2 linked regions of the Lepisosteus oculatus genome follow. The protein of the gene in region 1 binds, or shares a complex with, the protein of each later gene. Links are inferred from orthologs where the notes say so. Each region holds a gene or a part of one and is shown in the gene's direction. Other genes may lie near its edges.

Region 1 (6,935 bases):
CGCCAGGCAGGGCGGGCTTGCAGGGGAGCCCCGGCGGACGAGGGCTTTAGCGCCGTGCCCGCCCTGGCGCGGCTGAGCCCCAGCAGCCGACACCAGGAGCCCACAGCGGTCCCAGCAGGGCCACCAGTTGTGCTCAGTTAACCCATGCAGGATCTGATTGTTTAAGGAGTTTTTTTTTTTTGGAATTGCAGATGAGCCTTTTCTTTTATTGCGTGCCCTGGGTCGCACAGTGGCGTGGCAGGCAGTTAGCACTGCAGCCTCACCGCTGTTGGACTCTGGGGCTGGTCCTGGGTTGCTGTGGCGTCTGTGTGGAGTGTGCATGTTCCACTAGTGCTCACATGGTCTTCTTCTGGGTGTTTGGGTGTCTTCTCACCTCCAGGCATATGGATATGGATTTTTCTAAATTTGCCCTGTGCTTCCAGGATAGTCTTTGGCTTCCTATGACCCATCAAGGCAAGCAGCTCTCTGTGTGACTAGGTCGATTATACATCCTGGCAGTTTGGCACTGTCAGTTGCATTGAGACTCTGCCTTCTTTCTACGATTTCATTCGTGTGCCCTTTTTTTTCTCTGACACGCATTCACCATTTGGCACGCTGTGAGCTCCACAGTGCCAGCAGGAGAGCTAGTCCAGGCCTGAGAAGAGGTGCCTCTCTCAGGGAGACGCCCTGCAGTTCACAGAGTCGACTGGACCGTGGCTGAGCCACACCCACCCTAACCTGCCACCCTTCGGGGAAACCCTGAGCTGGCTTCCGCAGTGACCCGGCTCACACATGAAACGTCAGGGCCTTGGTCCTCAGTTTGCACTCTGTCACAGCCTTTACTGATGGAGCCTCTTAGGAGCCCACGTCATCTTTGTCTACCGCTTTTTTTGACAATGGCTAGGGAAGTAGCAGTGCATGCATGATCATAATCTCCGATCGATGCTGACATTTACCCACTGAGTGCAGTTCCTGTTGTGCAAGCAGTGTGCATCTCTAGGGGTGCTTGTCTTTTTCCTCCCTGCTTCTCTACGGTCGTACCTCTGCTCTTACTGTCATGTCTTTCACAGAAGATGACGTCTCTGCTTTCTGCCCCACAGAGTGCTGCACTGGCATCGACTGCACCTGGAATACAGTGGGATAAACTGGTCCCTTTTCAAATTGTGTTGAATTCACCATTTAAAACACTTCTCGTTTGGTGGACATCATAAATGACAATAGCTGTTTCAAACCAATGTTTTCCCAAATGTATTCTACAGTTGGTGTATCTCTGCTAAGCTCTGAAGACCTTAAAGAGATGCAAAGAAAGCAAGCCGGGTTTTGGGCTTTAGCACCACGGTTGGATAACTTGCTCCATACCTCCACAACTGTTTGCGTAAAGAAGTGCCGCCTGTTTTCTGTTTTAAATTCACTTACATATAGGTTTCCCTTGTGTCCTCAGGTTCCCTCTACAGAAATCCTCTGGGTTAACCTTACTGGTGACTTTGAGGATTTTAAACACTTAAATCAGGTTCCCTCACAGTCTTCTCTTTTCAAGACTAAAGAAATTCAGTTCTTGTTGTTCCTAAGTCTTCAGGGAAGGGAGTCTGATGGTTTTCAGTCTCTTGATAGGTGGCTGTTGAGTGTTGGGCTCTTCCACATTAAGGGCATGATGATGGTGGTTCAGTATCAGGTGGGATGTTACTGTTTGTCAGCAATCTTCATCATGGAGAGTTGCAGTGCTCCTCTGAAGACAGGAGATCAAACGGAGACAAGAAACATTGACTTTGTTTAGCCTAAACACAAAAATGCATTCAGTACACAGACTGCTGTACTTGCATGCATACAGATCTGGCATGCATATGTTGGGTACTATAAATAAGATAGAATTTTATTTCGTTTTTAAGTTATCCAGCAAGGATATTTTCCAAGAAACAAAGAAAATACTTTTTTAAAAACAGGTATATGAGCATGTTTTAATATGTTTGTAGTGTTGGGGGTTAAATAAACTGAAAAAAACATTTTATTTATTGAGCTGAGCTGTAATTTCACAGATGACAGCCTCAGACTGCCATAGTTAGGCAGTCACGCTGGCTGCCCTGGGGGTTGTGTTCTGAATGCATCTGTATTGATTTCCTCATGTACAGCAGGCAGTAGCCTTTCTCTTGCCTTTGCCCAGTTATTTTCCCTTTTGTATATCCCATTACCCCTTCAGCTATTTGAAACAGCTGAAAATTAACAGTATAGCCGAGGACCCCGCCTTCAATATTCTTGTTTCACCAGCATCTCTCGATCCAAATGAGTGTTGTTGGTTTTTTTTACATTCCAAGCAAATTTGACACAACCCAGAGGAGACACAATGCAATGACATAGACGTGCATTTTAAACTGAGAACAGGAGGCCCTTCTTTATACAAAGGGTTGTGGGAGTATGAAACAAGATACCTAGCTATACTGTTGAGGCTGATACCCCCTGGCTTCTTTCAAGCAATGACTGGATGAGATCCTTGGATCAATTAGCTACTAACTCCCAAACAGGCCAGATGGGCCACTTAGCGTCCTCTTACTTCCTTATGTGAAAACTGAATTTGAAAGTGTGTTCTAATCTGTTTATGGACAACGTCCTGTCATTGAGTATGTCCTTCCCCAGCCTAATCTGGGTGGGTGACACTAAGCGTTCGGTATTTGATTGCGTTTTCACCTGGATTTGTTGTCATTTTCGAGACAGAGGAGCTTCTGCTACCATTAATAACGATTTTTGACATCCGTCTCCTTCAGTATCGTACTACTGCTGTTCCCATCTCCTGTTACCTGATATATTGAAAACCTGCAGTTGTGTTGCTTGTCATTTTCAGCAGATGCAGTCAGAGCAAATGTCTTTTTCACTTTCACTGCATTATTGAACTTTGTCTTGCCATTTTCTAGCTGAGAACTCCTACAGAAGTGACAAACTCTCTGCAGAATACATATCCTTAGCAACACACATCCTCACATAAAATAGGTTGAAGTTGGAAGCATATTAGTTTCCAAGCTATTCACATTCCAGACGATGCTAGATCCTGTTGCATATTAAATACATTCATCGAATATTCATTCAAAGATCATTTGCATTTATTTTATCCCCCTGGCAAGAGAACACATCACACCACCCACTCAATGAAAAACTAGCTTTTCTACCAAATGAAAAACCCTTTTTAACCCTTTGAGGGGTTAGGGGTTAGGGTTGTGTGTTCTACCTGTGTTTGCATGGGTTTCTGCTGGGTTCTCTGGTTCAGTGCACAGTCCAAAGATGTTATGGTAAGATCTTAACCCCAATTTAATTAAGTAGGTTAACTGGCTTCTGGTAAAATTGGCCCTGGTGCAAGTGTGGGTTGTCTGTGTGTGTGTCTGCCCTCTGATGGACTGGCATCCTGCCCAGGGTGTGCCCTGCCTTGTGCCCATTGATCGCAGGGATTGTCTCTGGCTCCCCTGGCACCCTGTATTGGATAAAGCAGTTAGATGTAGGATGTGTGGATATCATCTTCAAGAAAACATGTTTTAGGCTCAGAACACAAAAGCCCATTCATGTAATTCACTGAATTGTGCGATGACCTTAGCAGTCAGGAGCACTTAGATATTTAAAATGAGCCCCACCCCTGTGAATGTCTGGAGCTGTCGATTTGGCCTCGATTTGATTCTCAGATCAATGTTTTCAGCACGATTGTGCAGCAGGTTTCAGACATGAAGTAATTTTAGAGCCATCTTCTTTTAAATGAATCCTGAACAGACCCCTACACACACACACAGCCAGACTCTGAGGTATGGTCTGGTTTTCCTCCAACGTGACCTTTTCTCTTCTACCGATGTCACATGATGACTATTATGTCCATGTTAGGCTCATTCGTTGCTTACTGGTGGCGTGCTTTCTAACGAAGACTTGTTAGTTTTATCACCCACGGCTCTCAAGATTTAGTTTCTCCTTAGGCAGGTACCCTTTACAACAGCAAAGCTGATTGATTTAATTCAGACACACACAATCTTGCGGTAAATATTTTTTTTCCTGGAATCCTGCAGTTGTTTTTTTTGCCCGCAGCATAAACTGCACACATTAGACTCCAACATAATACGATAAAGATCCGATCGACTTGGCAGGCAATTAACATATTGTCAATTAACTATCTCATCATCTTAGGGCGAATCCCTTTCGGCGACATAATTACATTTTACATCTTCGGAAAACAGCTTCTGGTGGAGAGTATGTTATATTTAGACTATAACAAGGAGCGAAACCGAATGCGGCAGAGGCGATTTTAAGGGTCCGTTACTGAGACAAAACTGAAGTCCGGAGACTCTGGCTCCTGTACTGTCCAGCAGTCAGTCCGCGGTTGCTAGGGGCTCAGTTCCTACGCTGGTTGCTATGGAGCTGGAGTGACTCCAATGTCCCGGATATTGCGATCCCTGTCCCAACATGGCGACGAGAAAGTGAGGTCGCGGCTGGGGATCTACGGAATAGGATATAATCAATAACAGCAGAGAGAGAAACTCGCTGGGGTTTTTCGGAGTTGCTTTAGAACGGGAGACACCAAGGAAACACCCAGGTAGGAAACGATATAAACTTCATACATTGTTTGGCTTTATATTTTATTATTTTTTGTATCTTTTGTGAAAGGGTCAGTGGAGTTCAGTCGTGGCTATCTACAGTTTCTACTTTGTCATTTGTGAAAACTTGCGGTGTGGCTCAAGAGCTAGGTCGTGTCCAAGTATCGGAGGTTGTTTTGTTTTTAAATTTTAGTGGATTATTCGCCCTTCTTTCGGCGAAAACCGAAACCGTTGACCTATTTAGGAATGTATCTGAAAATCTGTGCAAGTCCGGTCGTGGTTTGTTTTTTTCCCAATCGTTTTCAAAACAAACAAAAATCAAACCGGAGCACACCGCAAGACCTGGCTGTCGTGGTCACTCGTCCAGGTCAGGCTGCGTTTGGATCGATGTGTTGGGCAGTTCTCTGAAGTGGACCTACAGCATGGCACACTCCGCGAGTCCAAACACGATTATTATCAGCGTGACTTATCATTATGAGCTGCAGTATACGGGGAAGAAATGCAGTTTGCTCCACTTTCCGGCAGCGGATTCATGTTGGATCAATTCAACATACCGTCCTGTGTTTCGAGTCCTTTTGCAGCCATTATTGGACCATATCAAGACATCTGCTGTACTTGGGAAATGTTCATGTGATACTCCTGGGCGAGTGCTGATCTCCACGTACACCACAGCGCGCATTTAGTGCCCGTCTTACGGCAGAAACGACTACTGTGTGTGTATATATATATGTGTGTGTAAATCGTATGTAATAAATACTGTCGTGCGGCGCAGTAGCCGCTGCTGATACAGAGTAATCGTGCCGCGGGGCGCCGACACCCCGTCCACTCCGGCTGGGTGGTCGTGTGCGGCGTCCCTTGTGAAAGTTGGGAGAACATGAGGGTGTGAGGCGGAGAGGGGAAACCGAGGCACAGCAAATCATGTGACTGCAAATGTGCGATATATTGGTAACGTGCAGGACTTGACACCTCCCTGTGAAGAAACCTGCCGCCCCCAGAAATGCCTTTCCTTATTTCTTAGAAATGAAATCGCAGGCTCTTGGCGCATTGGTGATGGACCACCTGTTGACTCTTACATTCGGGTTTATCTTTTTAATTTCTGTGCTTCCAATTACACTGCTGCTTTTTTTTTAATAAGTGATTGGGATCGTAATTCTACCGCCGGTATTTTAATAAAGTGTCGCTGTTGTTGTTTGTAATTTAACGGTATCGATCGGTGCGGTCTGCATCGTGCTGGTTCCCAATAACGATTTACAATTCACTGATAAGACTCTTTGGGAGAAAGCTGCCAGCGGAAACAGATATGGGTGTGTGAGGTTGTTTTGAGATCAGGGTTGTTTAAGGTTTGTCTGTCAAGCCGCTCCGTGAAGCTAAGTGCTGACCTTCAAAGGTTTCATTTGATCACTTCGTGTAAAAGCGAGAAAACCGCATCACTGATGAACAAGGGAGCAGCGCAGAAATTGACAGAGGGTTCAGCAATCCCAATGAGCACATTTGCCATTATTTATCCTCTTCCTCGCCTGACATGTCCCTTCCCTGAAACACCTGTCCTTCACGTCTAAATTGCTTCTACCCCAAAATTTCTTCTAAATAATCATCTGTTGTCCCAGACACAGGTAAATATTATTACCTTCTTTGTCCTTTTTCTGAAGGGCACTTTCCTGATCAGATACTCAACAGGACAGCGTGGTGGCGCCGTGGTTTGCATTGCTGGTGTCCCAGCTTTACTTCCGGACCAGGGGTGCTGCCTGTGTGGAGATGGCGTGTTCTCCTCATGCTGGCGTGTTCTCCTCATGCTGGGCGCTCCGGTTTCCTCCCACAATCCCAAAACATTCTGGAAGGCTAATTGGCTTCTAGCGAGGAAAAAAAAAACCCTGCGTTTGGCCTGAGATCGACTGGTGTCCCATCCAGGGGGTACCCCGCCTTTGCACCCGTTGTTTGGCCGGATAGGCACGGCTCTCCCGCGGCCGTGAATCGGAAGAAGCAGTTGGAAAATGGACGGATGGCGATATTTAACATTTGTTTTCTAAATAAAAAAAATAAAGGCTAAAGGGATATTTCGCTCTGGAACAAGACACTCTGTTATTCTCTAGTTATTCGTGTGACTGTTCCCCACATAAAAGGCAGTTAACACATGGATAGCAATGTCAGTAGTGCAACACGCTGCACTCTCAGGTTAGTGGAGGAGGTTAGTGCACTAATAAATAGTGGTCAAATAAAAGTGACCAGTACGCGAGTCACATGTGCTTTAATAATCTTCAGTAGCAATTCCTTCAGCTTCCTTTTTCTCTCAAAGTGGAAGGTCTGGCTCTGAATTGGTTTTGCATCTGGGTTTCGGATGGCACATGCCTGCTGGTTGAGAGTGGCTGAGTTAGACATGACTGCCATTCCCCTTTGGATCCA
Region 2 (7,464 bases), on another chromosome or scaffold:
GTCACATCCTGACACACACAATCCAGCACAAATAACAAATGTCAATGGGGGGAACACTGCAAAAAACAGGATAAAACAGGTAAGCGAAAATGATACAGCAATTAAAATGATTTTTTTGGAATTATCTGTTTTCCAATAAATAACTCATCATATTAAATGATGAAGCTAATTTACTTAGACCTAATGTCTGAGAGTATCCCTGACACTGACACTGTCGTTATGTCATGATGTTCCAGAATTTATCATTGCTCGGTGCAGTATAAAACATTTGTATTATTAATATTGTGTTATTATTTAATATATTATTTATTTTTAATTATAATTCCACCACTTTACAGAATTCAAGTCTGTTTTATCTGCTTTGCAGAAAACTTGTAAAAATGAACCCAGGTCAGGTAGGAAGAAGCAACAGCGTTGATGTACAGTATTTTAAAATAAACTGATCATACAACATTTGGTGGTGGCATTTTAATTAGCTAAACATAACAAACAGTATTACTGCTGTCACACTGTTGGTGAAAGAGAAACAACCTAATCTTTATGATGACAAAAGCTTAACAATACAGCTGTTAACATTTACACTCGTTAATGCAATTTAGGACACAAATGTAAAAGAAAGAACAAAGTTAGAGCTAAAAGGAAAAGCTAATCCAACGTTCTCACCTTGAAGCAGACAGACATGAAAGAGAGCTGGGAAAAGCAGCCCATAAGAAGACATCTGACCCATCTTATTAGAGCTTTTCTATTGCTCTCAGTCCAGAATCCAGTCAGCGGTGCAAACACACTTTTACTGATCTTGTCCTGGAGACTGAGAATTTTGTTGTCTTTAGCTGTAAGCCCAGAGGGTTGCCAAGTGCCATGAAGATCAAACATACCTTCTCTATACACATAACTGATCTGTAATTCACTGTTATATAAACTTAGATCTGCCTGGTCTTGCCTGGTTTACAGCTTTCTGATGACGTTGTCCGCTGTATTTTATCATTTTGAGTTGGGATTGCAACCAGATGAGGCAGCTCACACTCTGATGGCATGCATCAGGGAATAAACTCAGATAAGTAATTGGTGGAAGATAGCTCTGTAGCCCAAGGTGCATTCAAAGACATTTTTTTCCACATTCTTTCTGAAAATTATTTAAATCTTTGTGTTTGTATATTTATTGCCATAATTTATTCTGTAACATTTTCTCTTTCAGAAACGGTCCTGGAATATTTACCACACATCAACAATATCTTTGAAGCGTTGTCACAATCTGTTATTGATGTAGAAATGTTAACACATCTTTTATTCACATCATTATTAAGTACAACCTAATATGCAGTAATAAACACTTTGTTTATTTTTAAGTCAGGAGGTCGATGTGGTTCCTTTGAGAAGCATGATGCCAAAATCATATTGATTTTTCTTAGTGACCTTGAAAATCCCTTTATTCCCACCCGTTCCAAGTAAAGCTACTAGAGGGCAGTATTAACACAGTGAAAAGGCAAAGTCCGCAGCTGTTATTGTGGTGGTTAGTTGTTATTCTCAAGAACAATATTATTATCGCTATTATTTAAAATTTAATTATATTATTGTTGTAAGCAAACAATATTATCGACTTATTCTTAACCATAATATTATTGTTATTACTACTTACAGTTACTGTTTTATTATTAATGTTGATACAAACAACACTTATTTTTTAAATATAATAATACAGTATTTTCTTTGCGTCTTTAACAAAATCTAATATTGCAAGCAGTACCATTTCTACTTCATTGTTGCAACAGATATGCTACTAATCGCTAAACGTGGACGCATTATCAGATTCAAACAAGGTCCATTTAAAAACAGATACGTCGTCGATCCGTCATTAGACTATGCAACACGAAAGAACATTATTCGCTTGTATATTAATAAGACTGAAAACTTCTTAACGTTTTTAATGAATGGCGTCTCTTATAATAGCCCAAAATTGTGTATCAAGAGTTAACTTGAAGGAACTATTTAGACACTAAATACAGACTGAAATCAAGAAAGAAGAATGATTTTTCTTAGCAAATGACATCACACAGTACTACGCTCTGAGAAACTGCACGTGGAATACTCTCTTCAAGGATCTACGAGTAGCTGTTATGCTTATCGTATTCTATAAAACAGCTGTTCACAATTTGTGTAACATTCCTAAGGCCAGGCTGACATCTTTGCATAAGGTAACTGCTTGTTAACAGTCTTATTTACATTGTAAAACAGCGATGAACGCGAGAATGTTCGGAATGTTTACGGGAATGTAGCACTGATGAGTTTTCACACCATTTTACATCCGCGTAGCTGCTGATACACAAGAATGAAGCCTGTGGTGTATTTACACTGCCTCTGCGTTTAAAATCAGACGCTAGATGGGGGTAGTCCACTGTGCTTGAGAAAGGCGCAAAGAGCGAAGAAGAGAAATTTGATTTTAAGGAACGGACCTAAATTGGAGAACGCTGCAGTTTCACTTTAGATAAAATGTCTTTCACAGAATGTTGATTAAATACAATATAATATAATATCTACATACGGCTTACGAATGCATAATTTAATATACCCCCTTAAAGTAGATGTCACGTTAGTCTAATATATTCATGCAAAACGTAGACCATTTTGTGATGGGGAAAATTACCTTTAAAAACTTATATGTGCTCTAATCAGCTATTTTACAAATCCCCTAAACAAGTAAAATATGTCTCTACATATTGAAAAAAAATATAATATTTATCCCATCAAGGTTTGCTTTTACAGCGATATAATTTATTATTAGTTATTATCGTGTTAGAATCGCGGTCAACTACCCAATCATTAGTGGCTGTTTTGCTTAGAATATCTATCCGTGCATTATCAATAACCGCTGAATCCAATACGAGAAATATGTTTCAAGAAATACAGTATCTGGGCACTGCTTGACATGAAATGGCTATCACACGACAAAAGGCATACTATAATATTCCAGAAACTCAGAAATCAGCAACTGGCGCACTTTGCAATACAGATCAGTATGGGTGTTCTCTTAATTATACTGTACGTACTGTAGATAATGGTGAAAGTGCTATGAAGATGTTTTCAGTAGCATCTTATCTCATAGGCTACACACTGTATGTCCTTTTCTTCTTGTCAGCGATCAACAAAATGTTCGTTTTTGAGTTGATAGGTTTATTCTCTTATGTACTGTACAACCCCTATAACAAGGCGTAACTGTACATGTAGCTATGATTAAAAAAACGTTCACAGTATATCTAAACACAGCACGGGATAAGCTAATAAAATATTAAATCTAACCCCTAATGTAGGATTAATACATAAAGCATGCGTGCTTTCCATTATAAGAACTGATATTATGTTTACAGACTGTTATGCGAGCTTATATAAATCTAAAACATTGGGATACCCCAGTCACGTCACTTCATTGTCTAGAAACGAAGCACATCGATTTAAGCATGTATTATTTTAAAGTGAAACAAGTTTTCAAAACACGGTTTAATAGGTGATGTTTGTAGAATAAACATGCGCATTTAGTAAAGCAGAAAATGTTTTCGGAAGACAAAAGCAAGTCAGAACTTTCAGGTGTAAATCGTACGTATTATACTTAATTCTTGCAAGAATTTCCTTAGCAGTTTTCATACGTTCTTATCAAAATCAAATTGAATATAGCATATCTGAAAAAATGCCTTCAATTTTACATAGAGTAAATACATTAACAGTGCATCTGTTCACTCAGGAAAGATCTCGAGATGGTTAAAAGATTAATTTAATAATATTAACTTATTTTGATCCTGACATTGGCGCATGGTTCATTAGGAAAGCTGAGCATATATCACACTGCTGCAAAACAAGCTAATATTACTGCAAATAAAAACACGGATGGATTGACCAACTTTAGTTCATATTTGTAGTCTCTGTGGGTTATAAAAACAGTTATTCACTATCCGCTATTCCATGTAAATTATTTGGGCTTTAGTAACAGCATGTTCAAACCATTTTAGAAAGGAATGCCATGCTGAAGGGGTTTGTGTAGCTTATTGAATTGTGTTCTTACTGTACATAGAATTCACCCCAGGTAGTTTTCGGGGAGATGTTGAAACGTGCTAGCCATCTACTTAGAGACCGAGTGACAGCAGGAAAAAAACCAACAATTCATTACGTGTTCCATATCGCCCTATTTATTTTTCTAAACTGCCAGATATCCACTGAACAATACCATCTCGGCACCTGGCTGCTCCTGTGTTGAGCCCCTGTGGGTAACCCCCTCACGAAGGTGTTGCCTGATAATCTGCTAGTTGGGGTACACCTTGGCGAGGTAAAACCGTGCTCCACATTGTCTCGGATTTCAGGAGCGCGGGTATTGGCTGAGAGGGTGATGCACGTTTCCTATTGGTGGAGAGTCCCACGCTGAAATGGGGACAGATTGGACAAAAACGCTGAGGGAGATTTAGACCTGCATTATAATGCTTTAAAGGTTGAAAGGAGTACTGAAACGTCTGCAGATACATGTGTACTTGTAGAGCGCATTAAGGACTACGCGTACGCATCTGGAAACGAATCACATACCAATGTAAGTTTCTATATATATATACATTTCCATTTCTATATACACAATTCCTTATATATAATCGGTAAATATTCTAATTGGGTTCATTTCTGTACGGTCAGCGATTAAACATCCTTTTCTTTCTTTCAGGAAAACTGGTTAGCTGTAACTGGCTGCTGTTAACTAAAAAGGAAATGGTGAGTTTTAAAACTAATTTTAAAATTGGATTATATTTACTGTGAAAAACAACATCGATACATGCAATGCCTTTTGACTTTAATGGGAGTTAGAATAATCATAATAACGTTACGATGCTGGATCACCGAAAGCATGACTAAGAGAAGTTTGAGAACTGTCAGTTTGTGTGGGACATGTATCCGATAACCACCATGCTATAGTTATTTGAGAAACTATATGTTACCATTCTCGGAGACTGCAGAACATGCAGGCAATGCAAGGAAGTATGGGTTATCTTTGAAAAAAGCACCTTAATTAGCACATTAGCAGTAGGGTCTTGCGGTAAATCATATTTGACGAGCTATGGTAAAGTGGTATGGTACTTTGCTTTAAGAGATACAGCTAGGCTTCTAACACCTTTTCCATAACGTTCTTAACGCACAAATAGATAATAGTATTTGTATCTACTGTACTATACTGTGCAATACTGTAAACCCCATTAAAAAGCCACTATACCAAAGACTCACTAAAAGCTTAAAATGATAACTTGAAAAGGTATGAAAACCGAGGTACAATTTTAAAATCTAATCAGTAAATGTGTTTATTGAAGTATGAGTGGCAAAACGTTTTTCTTATAGGAAAGCTATGCTGCAATCCAATGCAGATGTGTAGAAAGCCAATAGACTGTGGATTGGGAAACGTTTAATCTTTTATTGACTTTGCCACAGTAGAACTGATCTAGCCCTTGGTGTGATGTTTTTCTATGCCATGTGCTCGTGAAAACGCAACCAAATGGTGGCTTTTTATTTAAAAGCCGCGAGGTTCTCAAGAGGGCGACGAAAAATAAATAATTGCGAAAGGCCTCTAGACAAATTTACGGAAAAACGTTACCACAATGCAGCGTTATATTTATAAGATGGTTTATTAAGAGATTAAATGTGCACATTGTTTTAAGAGTTATAGCATTTGATAGCACCGCATAAATCAGTGGTATCATTTCTGCGAATACTGTAGTTTATCTTTTCATACTGTTGGTCATTTTCTGCGGTTTGCGGCGGTTTTATAAATGTAGATTCTTGTAAACGTGTACTACAGATTACAGGAAATCTACTATACTAGGCGGATGTTGAGGGACTTGAACCTCTTTGTGAAACAATTCCCTGTATTTTGCCGTTTGGGAACTTGGAATGGAGTGATACTGGACGAGTCATTTGGAGATATTCTTGTTTCTCATAACTGTTGGCTTTGTATTCAGGTTGGTAGACCTGCCAAGGTATTGTTACAGGTCAGAAAGCGTCCTACTACATTTGTTTAACATTTTTTAAAGTTTTTATTGGTTAATTGCTTTACGTCTGCTTTTGAACTGATTTAACTTATGTGTCAGTAAACGAAACCACGATAATTATTCTGGGCAATGCTTTATTCTTAGGCAATAAAGCGATCAGATAATTTGCTGCAATTCGTAAGCAGAAATAGCGTTTACTAGCTCTTTGCTTTCCCTTTGGGATGTAACGTTCCTTTACATTGTTCTTTTAAAACCTAAACAGAAGGGTGAAAAAAGTAGTTCTTCAGTGTGCATAGTTCACGTTCTTCACAAAAGACCTCAGGTGTGTTTAGGTTTCAGCTGTGATGGACTGTTTACTAATAAAGACAATTGGAAGCAGAGGACCAACCAAAAACGTACAAGAGCTGCTCTCTTTAATTTTTTCAAGATGCACTCCAGAACACAGCTTTGTTCAGAGTTGTTATCTTTACACTGTTAGTAAAAATGGCATTGAGCAATCTTGGAATTTTTGCTATGGTAAAATAATTCAGTACATTTTTTAATGAAATCCTAAAAGAAGTGGTATTTAAATAAAGTGCTGAAAGAAGTATTAAAAAGAGCATGTTCTCTTTCCTTCTTTCTCCTTACCCAGCCCCATACATCTCACACTCAAGGATCCTGTTTTGGAGCCAAAGAGCTAACTTTCCACAGCTGTGATAACATAGCTACTCCAAATAAGCACTGTTTAGCCTGTAGGACTATGAACTAGGGATGTGTTATACAGTTGTGAAAGCCACAGAAATAATCTGTTATGCTCAAAAAGTAAAGTTCACTAGTTACAATTATTAGTTCAATTACAATATAATCCTAAATTGATGTGACAAATGTCCATACATCCATTTTCTATCTACTGTTCATTCCCTGGTTAGGGTGAACAATGTGAAATGTAAAAAAGTCTATATTTAATGATTTTAGTGCTCAGAAATATTGGGAAATCCCATGTTTGAACACTGACCAGTGATAATTACACTAAGTATCAGTCTAAGTCTTTGTAAAAAAGATAAGGAAATGTCCTGTGCAATATCCATATTAAGATTTCATTTGACCAAAGGACATATAAGCAATTTAAGTGCATTTATGTAGTGTTCTTAACACTCAATGCTGTTTCATGATATATTTCACTTACTTTAAAAACCTCCTTTTTAACATATGAAGCTTGCCAAGATACAGTATATTTATGTTAGTAACAGGGGTGACATCTCTCACGTTGACAGTATTCCAGGTAGTGAAAATAATCAATTACTTTTGCCTCTTAGGTGGAGGAAAAAGTTAGTAGATTTTACTAAATGTAATTAGCTGTTTAAGTTCAAAACCAGCTGTTGCATGGTATGAATGCTTCTAAGTTGCCACTAGTCTGTTTTGGCCAATCTGAAGTTCCTGTGACTCAGTTTCAAGGAAATGACTTCTCCTACTCCTGTGG

What was found. Proteins that work in one complex are often made in the same cells at the same time.
Region 2: the proteins of pak4 (region 1) and inka1 are in contact, whole or in part, in a crystal structure (PDB 4XBU), measured with the Homo sapiens proteins. The link is inferred for Lepisosteus oculatus from reciprocal best matches to the Homo sapiens genes PAK4 and INKA1. Residues at the interface, in NP_001014831.1 of Homo sapiens: Ser331, Gln358, Arg359, Glu361, Leu362, Thr404, Asp440, Lys442, Ser443, Asp444, Phe461, Leu475, Val476, Gly477, Thr478, Pro479, Tyr480, Trp481, Met482, Arg489, Glu507, Glu512, Phe516, Asn517, Glu518, Pro519, Pro520, Met524; in NP_976248.2 of Homo sapiens: Gly178, Arg179, Ser180, Arg181, Gln182, Pro183, Leu184, Val185, Leu186, Gly187, Asp188, Asn189, Cys190.

Annotation. Positions count from the first base shown.
Region 1 is NC_090698.1:5,422,742-5,429,676, forward strand, and holds the start of pak4 (serine/threonine-protein kinase PAK 4), read left to right. Parts: upstream 1-3,916; 5' UTR 3,917-4,534; intron 4,535-6,935. UniProt on the Homo sapiens protein: Serine/threonine-protein kinase that plays a role in a variety of different signaling pathways including cytoskeleton regulation, cell adhesion turnover, cell migration, growth, proliferation or cell survival.
Region 2 is NC_090699.1:53,994,556-54,002,019, forward strand, and holds the start of inka1 (PAK4-inhibitor inka2), read left to right. Parts: upstream 1-4,443; 5' UTR 4,444-4,567; intron 4,568-4,693; 5' UTR 4,694-4,737; coding exon 4,738-4,740; intron 4,741-7,464. UniProt on the Homo sapiens protein: Inhibitor of the serine/threonine-protein kinase PAK4. Acts by binding PAK4 in a substrate-like manner, inhibiting the protein kinase activity.